3 linked regions of the Arabidopsis thaliana genome follow. The protein of the gene in region 1 interacts with the protein of each later gene in a pairwise test. Each region holds a gene or a part of one and is shown on either strand. Other genes may lie near its edges. The genes, in order: ZFP2, AT3G11280 and AGL89.

Region 1 (3,324 bases):
TTTGGTACTCAATAAAACCTTTCATTGATGAGATTTGTTTTTTTGGTAAGTCATTCATTGATGAGAATTGAGAGTCATGAAGGTACACAATATATGTATTTCTTAAAAAAAGTCGAATACTAAATAGGAAAAACAAAATCTTAATTACCCTGTTATTTCGTTATATCATTTTGATTTAGACTTATGCCTTTCAATTTCATATCAAATTTTTTAATTTTTTGTAGATAACATATAGTAAAATATCTTGTTCTTTTAAAAGTGATGGTTTCAGCATGAAGAAAATAAAATATTTACATGATATAAAGTCCGAACATGGTGAAAATGCTCATATAGTAAATGTATATAGAGAGAAGAAAACACTAGTAATATACTAATATTTGAAGGGAAAAATCTTATGACTAGATGACGTAATGAACTCAAAAAGAATATACAATTATTAGTGAATATACGGATAGATACGTATATACATGTATTTATACTGATGTCATATGTGAATAAATGTTATTAATAGAAATTTACTTAACTAAGTATTGTTTCACAGCACATGTCTCCTTGTCGGGGCACATTGTTAGATTGATCAATAATGTATTATATACAAGCGACATTCATTCATTTTATAATGCAGTTGTAATATGATGTGCTCATACTATATATACTTAAAATAACCATCTATATAGAGAATTATAGATCCTTCATTTTTTTAACTTATTTAACTACTGCATTAGGTACCATCTTCCAAAATCAAATTTGGATTTGAATTTAGGACCATAGTTACAACTTACAAAGAAAACTTTCAGATAATAGGAAATGACTAATAAGTAAAACAATCAATTTTAAGATTAACAATTGATATGATAATATATAGACTAACAAAATATAAGATTCTTTTAGAGCCTTAAGGATAAGTCAAGGTGACTCTTCTCCTGATCCTGATCAAGACCACTCTCCGGCACACGGCGGGCGGAGAAGTCCCTCGAGCCGCCACTTTCGAGAAATCCTTGGTAGCCACGGCCGTAAAGCTCAAAGCGACCGGAGAACGGGTAAGGCTGATCAGAATCAACAGTGTTTGAGGATCTAAAGAGTTCTCGACTCTTCTTGGCTAAGGTTCTCTCAAGCTTATGAGCGTTTTGATGACCACCAAGAGCTTGAGAGCTGTAAAACTTTCTTTGACAATAGTTACATGAGAATACCCTAGGCTGCTCCAAACATGATGATGAGTTCGTGGAAGAAGATGAAGAAGAAGACATGGAAGAAGGCTCGAGAACAAGTTCTAGGTTTAGTTGGTGGTTCTTGTAACTTGGTAGGCTTAGACGTAGGGATGTGTTTGGCTGGTAGTCCATACCTTTATATATTCTTAGAGATAGAGAGAGAAAGAGAGATTAGAGAGATGAGAGAAGTGTGTTTGAAGAGTTTGGGCTTGAGGGGCATTATATTTAAGGTGTAAAGGTGCGTAGGTTTGCTCAAAACTCATGTTGGGTGCAACTTCAACTGTAAAGTATGGAGAGAGAGTAGAGAGATGAGACATGGAAGCTGAAAGAATCAGTGGGAATCCAAGTGTTGTCGCCTCCATTAATGGCACCCTTTGAACCCTTTGTCGGTCCATCTAATATTATTTACCTCCGAGTTTTATATATTTCTCGATACATCATTTTATTATATCCAATGGTCTCGTTTTAGAGTGTTGAAACACCTCAAGAATTATGTCCCATGTGGTAGTTGTTAAGACCGGACACATAAGATATCTGGTTTAATTTGAGCATTGTAGTTAATGTATGCCTTTTTCTAATTGGAAGTGTATAGTTATACCATAGACTTGCGTAAATTACTATGATTGTAATGAATTATCGATATGTATTCATACCAAAGTTTTCTAAGCATAACCAAGAAATCTATTTTTCTTCAAATTTAAATTAATACCAAAAATACTATGAGCTATAAAGACATCATAAAATAAAATAAAAAGTCAGTTTAAGATAATGTCGTCATGCTATGAAATACATCTACTAAAATGGTTTTATCTAAAGTAATTTGATTATAAAAGGTTCATTCAAATAAATTAGTTCGATTGTAACTTAGGAACGACATGTAACCTAGTAGTTTTATACTAGTGGATCAGTTGTTGTGTTAAAGCATGCATAAGCATATTGTTGACAAGATACAAAATTGTATATCACAAATTTAGATCGATAATATCGTTATGATATATGGTTGGAAAAAAAATCACTATATTTGTAATTTGAATAAAGTTGTTAAATAGTAATGTACGTCGTTCATAAATATATATTCGGAGTTAAATTTCTTTAATTCTGACTTTAGTACTTATAAATGGTAAGACAAACTCATAAAATTTGTCCAAAAAAAAAACTCATAAAATTTGTCCAAATATCTAATCAAGAGAGAATTTTTTTTCTTTTACATGGGGCATAATTGTCTACACAAAAAGTTAATAGAGAGTTTCAATCAAAACAGCTGTTAGGTTCATTAAATAATTTATGAAAAAAATGAAAGACTTAAGTTAAGATCAAAGCTCTCTTATCAAGTTTCCAGTAATGGCAATGAACACTTAACGAGATAAAGCTTTTTGACTCAGCTTAAACATGTAAGATGATGTTAACTTCCAATTAATTGAAATCATCGCCCACCGTACGATCAATCTCTCAATCCAACGGTTCACAAGGAGTTCGTACCAGATAAGATGTGGACTGCGCCACAGTGAACCCACTTTGGATATATCACGTTTTGCTTTTCGTGAGTTTATAATCGTAGAAGTCATTTCAGTTTGAATTGTTTCACATAAATTCAATTATTTTTAATTACTTTCGATCAATGAAGACACATCAATGTCATGTGTACATATGTTTCATTAAGACTTTTGTCGTTTAAAGATTGAGAGAGGTTACGTCTTTGTACTAATCTCTCAAGCTTGTTTCGCTTTCTTTAATTAATTTTTGTGTTTTATCGATTTTAAATTTTATGGTACTTTGCTAACCAGCCAAGTGAAATTGATTGATGAATTATTAATTTTTAAAAAGCTAACTACTAACCAACAAAAAAAAAAAAGATGTTTGAATGTCGTATAATTTTAAAATTATCATATGCGTGTTTTTGCTCAAAAAAAAAAAAAAAAAAAAAAAACCATATGCATGCAACTCCAACAAAATGGATCATTCGGAGAAGCTGAGGACTTATATATATATATATATATATTCAAAAACTCCTATATTCGTTAAAAAGTAGTCCATGTAAGTTTGTTTGTACCACTCAATTAGTGACAAATCACATTTATAAACCAAAACTTGAAATGTGAAACAAGAAAACCTTGAA
Region 2 (3,964 bases), on another chromosome or scaffold:
AACTATGATAAAACTATTGCTTGATTAAGTGTAGCCTTTGGTCCAACTTTGCATATGAACTGTGATAAATAATATTTCAAAGTTGTTTCAATATAAATTTATCAAAGTTATTTCAAGTTGCATAATTCAAATGTGAGCAGTGTTTAGATTGGGGCACCAAATGATTAAAAAATAAAATAAACATTTCATTCATATATGTTTTTTATACAAATGACACCATTATACGTAATTCTAAATACGTTAATATATATATGAGTCAGGAGGTTGGTGTAATAGATGAGAAGAATGAGGTTCTTTGGTCAGAAGTGGAAAGCAGACTCAGCCTCTATTTTATACTCAAATCAATTCTTCATACCTTCCACCAAAACTTTACTCAATATTTAAAACTATACTATAGCCATCTTCTTAAATAAATCTAACCCAAAACATGTTTCACAAATTTCTCATTTTTGTGTGGTGTTTGATCTCTTTGAGTCTTTTTTTTTTTTTTAATCTCTTTAAGTCTTTATTACAGTATATCTTTATAATTTGCATTTAACACCATAAAATAGATATATTGTGGTAAATTGTTAGGGTTATCAACTTGTCATAAAGCACAAGTACTCTTTTTCACAACTATAAGTCTATAATTTAATCGAAAAGAAAACACAGATTTTTTTTAACATAACAGGTATTTAGTAGACAGAAACACAAAAATACAGAGTAAAAACAAGTTCTTACTTTTAAACCACACAATACATATATAATAAACTTGGTTTTGCTTATATTTCTCTAATTACAGTTTCAAAACTCAGATTCTTAAGAACGCTGAGTTTGGGGATTCTATGTTGCCTTAAGCTCCGGCACTGAAGACATTTTCTCCGGCGAAGTTAATGGCAGCTTCGAATGAAGTTGGTGATGGAGAAAACAGATTTTCTGAAGAGAGATTCTGACCCATAAATATTACTCCCTCCTCCGTATCATCCTTATCGATAAACCCTAAATCAGGGAGAATATCTCTATGATCGGAAAAGGAACGGTTGAGATTGGCATTGAGAAGATTGCCGGTTGTGATGTCATGGATACTTGGCCTGCGTTTGTCCTTGGCTCCGGAGAGCTGTCTCTGGTAATACTTTTGGGCGTGGCTCGCCACTTGCGTTGGCGTCTTTGACACCACGAAGTTTCTCGATATGTTTCTCCAATCTCCTTTACCGTACTTGAGAAGGCCTAACAAGAATCTCCTGCAAGGAACAAGAAACAGAGCATTGAAAACCCTAAGAAAAAAGGGGATGACTTGCGTTGCAAGGAACCTAGGAAGAGTGACTTATATGGAAAGAATTCTGTAGAGATGAAAGAGTGTCTTAACCTGTGTTCTTCCTCTGTCCAAGGGACTCCTTTCTTTCGATCTTGATCAGATCCTCTAGCTCCACTAGGCCGTTTACGACACATGTCCGTGTCAAACCCCAAGGGAGAAGAAGCTGCAGGATAACCAGGAATGGGAACACGTCCTGCTTCAATATCGAAAACGTCTTCTTCAAGCTTACTATATTGCTTCATAACATCAAAAACAGTCTTTCCAGGGATCATGGAAGCAACTTTAAACCAGCGATCAGGCGAGTCTTCAGCGTATATCGCAAGAGCTCGTTCGAACATCTTGTTCTCTTCTTTAGTCCAGCTACCGCTACTCGAGCTGTGTAAGCTCACCATCTCTTGAACAACGAACCGGTGGTCAGAGATAGGTAGGTGAGAGAATGGATGCAGAGTCTCCATACCTAAAAACAAAAAAAGGGAAGAATAAGTTTCAACTACAAACACAGCTCAAAAAAGTCCATTTTCTTGCTCTATGTGTGGAGGAAGCTTAAAAGATAGATTTGTGATATAAGGAAATAATGGAAGCTTTTATATATAAGGTTTAATGATAATATAGTAGGAATCAAAGAAGAAGAAAAACAAAAGGGAAGGAAAAATGAAGAATCGTATACTGAGGGAATCAAGAACCTGATTTGGGTAAGAGATTTGAAGCATATATAAAACCGACCCTCGAATCTGAAAAAAGACTCAAAGCTTTGAAGAATTTATGAGAATCTGCAAAAGTGAGTCGTCGAAGGAAGACAAAAACAGCAAAGCAAAGCCCACTTGAGAGATAGAGAGAGAGGAGAAGACTCAGAAGCTGAAGAAGACCCAGTAAAGAGAGAGAGATAGTGAAGGAAGAGTAATATACAGAGAGAGAAGAGTCACTGTAGATATGGGAACAGAGTGAAGAGAAAGAAAAGGAAAGGTTTCTTTATTTTTGGGAAGATTTGGCGTATTTGGATTGGAGAACAGCGAATGGCACCACTCCACTCGGATTCTTGCGGTTCATTTTTCTCAGAAAGAAAAAAAAAGTTGATTGATCTATTTGATTCTATTATTTAATTCTTTGGAATACGACAAATTTGTTCTATCGCCTTTTTTCTGGTCCACACGGAGACATACTGTATGGTTTTGTTATAAATATAATGTTTTGATAATTACAATCAAAAGCGCCTGTAGCTCAGTGGATAGAGCGTCTGTTTCCTAAGCAGAAGGTCGTAGGTTCGACCCCTACCTGGCGCGATTTATCTCTTTTTATATCTTAATTTTGTCTCCTTAAGGAGGTTGTTTAGGATTAAGTTCTTACCTGGAATTAAGTGATGATTGGTTTTAGTATCTATGCGTCGGTGGAAAATATTTTTAGAAAGTGTGACAGATTCAATAGCTAAAGCTCATTAAATCCCACTATCTCTCCATTTTACTTGTGATGCTCACATAAGTTTTAAATTACTTTCTGCAAACAGAGAAAATCAAATAAAAGTATATCGGTTGTATCAACTAATCAAACTGTACAAGGTTTTTTAACTTAAGTTAATTTTGAAGAAGAGAAGGCTACATAGAGTCATAGACGATAGGATACGAATGCTTTGAAGTTTATTTCTCATCTGCAATAGAGACAAGAGTAATTTCTTGCGACAAAAGTTAACCAGTAACTCTTATAATATTTCGACTGTCATAAAATCTTTCAAGGAACCTAATAATATAACATCTCACACTGTTCAAAAGATAAATCAAGAGTGTTTAGCATAATAAGACATAAGCAGAAGAAGTTTGGGAGAATATGACGATCTTAGGCAGCAATGGTAAGGCCACCAGATCGAAGTCTAAGCAGCCAAGACATTCTCAAACTTGAGTTCTTCAACAGCAAGAAAATCTCTCTGTACTCTTTCTTCACAAACAAATCCAACGCAAACAAGTAAAGATCACTACCTTGCTCAACCTCTTCCATGGAGTCCAAACACTCAATGCATTCCCCAATGGTATACTCGTACTGCCTAACCGATGCACTCACTGGACTCTCCTTCATCAGCTCAGTTTTTAACCTGTGGCATCCCGGAGTTACAATTTCAACATCTTGTAACCGAGACTCTGCAAAACCAACACTGTTAAATCTCCGGTGCTGCGGAGTAGGCTGCTCATCATCGTCATCATTGTCATCTTCATCAGCTCCACCTTCACTACCTGAGACTGGCTCGTTTGTGTAAAGTGTTGATAATGGAGTTGGGTCATGTAGCTGTGGTGATTCGGAATGATGATCAAGCACTCTCCTGCGATAAGAACGGAAATAGGCTTTTCCTGGTTCTATAAGTCCTTTGAAGATGGTTGCTAGTTTATCCGCGTGAGGAAGTTGTTTCCTTCTGAATGGTGCTGCTCTATGATTCTCCTGTTAATCAAAGAACCAATGTTAAGCTGCAAACTTAATCAACTAATATAAAAAGTCGAGTAGCGTTTATACCTTCAAGTAGTTTTTCCAGTCTTCATCAGTAGCACCAAATGTTCGAGAAGTTGCATCCCATTTCATGACAGGAGCACCAATCACTTGACACCAGATCTTCCACGATTTCCTGGTGCAATCCCAATGATTCTTGAGTTGCGGTCTGGTGAAGCTTTTACCGGTATTCTGATTGATAGT
Region 3 (3,333 bases), about 14 Mb from region 1:
CCAACACACAACATCAAGCGTATGTGTAAAAACAAAGAATTTGGTTCTGCAATGAAATCCAAAACAGAGCCTTTGATGGGGAAAAATTCAATCTTTGAATCGAAAAGAGTTGTTCTTCCAAAAACAAATTAAGCTTCAGTAAGCATCAACATCACAGAGTTTTACATAAAAATCTCATAAAGAAACATATACTACTACTACCTACTCTAGTTCTGTTTGACTCAACAGTTTACATATATTTTTGGTTTTGTATTAAGTATTAACTATATAAAATTCATGAATAATGAATCAGGAAAAAAGATGAATACATTGCTTCTCTATACATTATTACCTATCAATGGTTTTCTCCTTGTTAGTCTTCACAGTAGATTCACCTAATATGATTCACATGAGCAAATGGATCCGTATATTTTTTTGAAGCAGCTTTCTTGGTGGTCTTAGGTGGTTCTCCAAAAACATTCCAAAGCCTGAGAGTCTCGTCACCGGCTGCAGAAGCCACGGTACAACCATCCGGACTCTGTGCCATAAAAAGAACTCTTGATGTATGACCATTGAGTTCAGCCATTTTCACCATAGATGGGTACTTCCAAAGTGTAAGCTGGTTCTGTGTAAACCCATGTGAGCTAAGCAACTCTCTTTCACTTTTGCTCCATAACAATGAACAAACTTGAGAGCCAGTTTCTACTGAATTCAAGCAAGCCCCAGTGTGTGTATTCCAGAACTTAATCTTCCCATCACCTACACCACCACCAGTTGCAAGCAAACTCGCTTGGAAAGGGCACCAAGCAAGAGCTCTCACTGCAGCTGTATGTTCCTCAAACCTATGCAGCCATTGCCTAGTTGGGTTTGAGGAAGCGACAGAACGATGATCCCAAATGTGTACTACATTGTCGTTACCACCACTTGCTAGTTTTTTTCCAGATTCTGACCACTTAAGACCACAAACCTCTTCTGTGTGACCCAAGTAAGTTTCAACAATAGATGATCTGATCCTCACATCATTGTTGACGATCTTTCCATCCATTCCTCCAGTTGTTAGAATGTGATTGTTCCATGCCAATGATCCTACTCTTGACTCGTGACCACCTCTCAGTGTTCTCACTTGACGATTGGAAACACAATCCCAAAGCTGGACTTCACTGTTGTCAAGACCAATTGCCAGATCAAGACCATCTTGCGTCCAGTTAATACTTGTGACAGGTCCCTCCTCTTCATCAATGGTCACAAGCTTATATGTAGAACCACTAGACGCATCCCACAAGTAAACAGTGTCTCCCAAAGCAATGGCTAAGACATTAGAACTGCCCCAATCCAACAAGTTAAGGTAGAAGTCATCCGCAATTCCAGGTGCATCCAAGACTCTCTCACTATTCTGAGGAATGTATCTACGAGGCTTTACGGATATAGGTTGTTGGTGAGGAGGATCAGAGTGATTACTAGAAAGCAGAGCTTTAGGTTTGTTTCTGAAAGCGAGAATCCGAGTGCGATTCTGATTCATAGCCTCAGCCAATTGCGTCATGTAGGCTTTTCTTGATGCTGAAGTTACCTCATCGACATTACGTTTTCTTCCTTGGGTAAGAGCGTAGTTAGCAAAGTCGAAATCCATGGCCGATCTATTCGGTATGAATCTGTCGAAGTTTTCCTTGGAAAGTTTCCGACGGAGAAAGTGTTCTACAAGTGGACACGAAGCTTGTGCCTTTAAATGTGAAGAAGTGTTCATCATAACTGTGATTAGAAGAAGACTAAACGAAATATGACAAAGAGACAAATAAAACCTGCGAAGAAGGAAACGTAAAGTAGATTCAAAGCAGAGAGACAGAGAGCGAATAGCGAATAGTGAAGGAAGATTGTGGCAATTTTAGGGTTTTTTGCTTTCTTTAATTCATTACATAGAAATTGTCAATTACGTACAACGGTTAGATATTAGTAAAATGGAAATCGGATCTAATTCAGATTTCCGTTAAAAATAAATAAAAGATTTTCATTACAGTTACTGAAGAAAAATGAAATAAATATGGAAATCGAATTTAACAAATTCAATATAAACCCTAATCCCAATTCTCTGACTTTATTTTCTCTTTGCAAGAAACTAAAGCTTCTTTCTTTCACCGTGTAAACAACAACAATGGATTCTTCAATGTCGACGAAGAAGAAAACCAAATTGTCTGTGAGAAACCAAACTTGTTTCAAGAAATCGTCTCTTTCTTCTTCTTCTACTGCAAAAAAGACCACGAATTTGTCTATGAGAGAAGAGACCATGTTTAAGAAAGCCTTGGAGCTTTCAACTCTGTGCGACATCGAAGTCTGTGTCATATATTATGGTCGTGACGGAGAACTCATCAAGACATGGCCGGAAGATCAATCCAAGGTTCGAGACATGGCTGAGAGGTTTAGCAAACTACACGAGAGAGAGCGACGCAAGAAAAGAACAAACCTTTCTCTGTTTCTACGTAAAAAGATCCTCGACGACAATAAATTGTCGGAGAAAGTCTTAGAGATGAAGGATTCGCTAGAAAGTGGTCTACGGGTATTACAAGATAAGCTTCTGTTACTCCAACCCGAGAACCAGACCGAGCTAGGTCAGAGCCGTGCGGTTTCTTCCACAACGAATCCATTGTCTTCTCCTGAGGATCATCATCATCAACAATGGACAGAACCATTGGTGACTGGTGTGTCAAACACAGAGCAAGACCTATCGACGTCACCATTGAGTAACCATCAGAGCAAATATTCAGTCTTTGTCTATAACCATGACAGCGGAAGCTTCTATCAAGTCCCTGACTCGATCTGTTTCTAGTTTAGATTATGAGTTTTAATTGTCTGATTAAGAGTTTGTGTTGAATTGTATGTTTTTCCTAAGTATTATCATTATGAATGCTATTCTCAATTCAATTTTTGTCTGAGTCAATTAGTTGGCTTTGTTGGATTTAGAAGCCAATGGTGAATTTCCAGATTACAATGCCTTGTGATTTTCCGATTAAAATTCTTCCAAGCCCTAACAATGGAGATTTGTTCAAGAGATCTCCTAACTCTCCTCTATGGTTTGTTACACACACATCAATACATGCATAACTTGTGCAATAACCTTCTATCTATTTATATACAACTCACTAGACTCTCAAGCTAGTGGTTAAACAATCTGTTTCTTCTTGCTCTGTTTTCACGTGCCTTCTCTGCTTCTCTTTGCTTATTCACGAGCCTCAACGAATCCGTTTGAGCTACCACACGTGCCTCCTAGCTTATCATAGGTCTTTTGATTCATGTTTGTACAAGCTTAAGTAAAGTGTATCCGGAGGATTGACATATACAATAGACATTGAATGTTAGATATCC

Evidence for each region.
Region 2: the proteins of ZFP2 (region 1) and AT3G11280 interact in a two-hybrid assay, tested with the Arabidopsis thaliana proteins (one large-scale study listed by BioGRID).
Region 3: the proteins of ZFP2 (region 1) and AGL89 interact in a two-hybrid assay, tested with the Arabidopsis thaliana proteins (one large-scale study listed by BioGRID).

The regions. Positions count from the first base shown.
Region 1 is NC_003076.8:23,294,035-23,297,358, reverse strand, and holds ZFP2 (zinc finger protein 2), read right to left. Parts: upstream 1,708-3,324; 5' UTR 1,341-1,707; coding exon 888-1,340; 3' UTR 583-887; downstream 1-582. UniProt on the Arabidopsis thaliana protein: Probable transcription factor involved in the regulation of floral organ abscission. Participates in processes that directly or indirectly influence shedding of floral organs.
Region 2 is NC_003074.8:3,532,645-3,536,608, forward strand, and holds AT3G11280 (Duplicated homeodomain-like superfamily protein), read right to left. Parts: upstream 2,351-3,964; 5' UTR 1,978-2,350; exon of another isoform or gene 1,752-1,977; 5' UTR 1,750-1,751; coding exon 1,346-1,749; intron 1,221-1,345; coding exon 833-1,220; 3' UTR 567-832; downstream 1-566. Other genes in the region: AT3G11290 (Myb/SANT-like DNA-binding domain protein), read right to left, coding at 3,122-3,715, 3,788-3,964.
Region 3 is NC_003076.8:9,734,526-9,737,858, forward strand, and holds AGL89 (AGAMOUS-like 89), read left to right. Parts: upstream 1-1,999; 5' UTR 2,000-2,125; coding exon 2,126-2,797; downstream 2,798-3,333. Other genes in the region: CDC20.5 (cell division cycle 20.2, cofactor of APC complex-like protein), read right to left, coding at 371-1,723.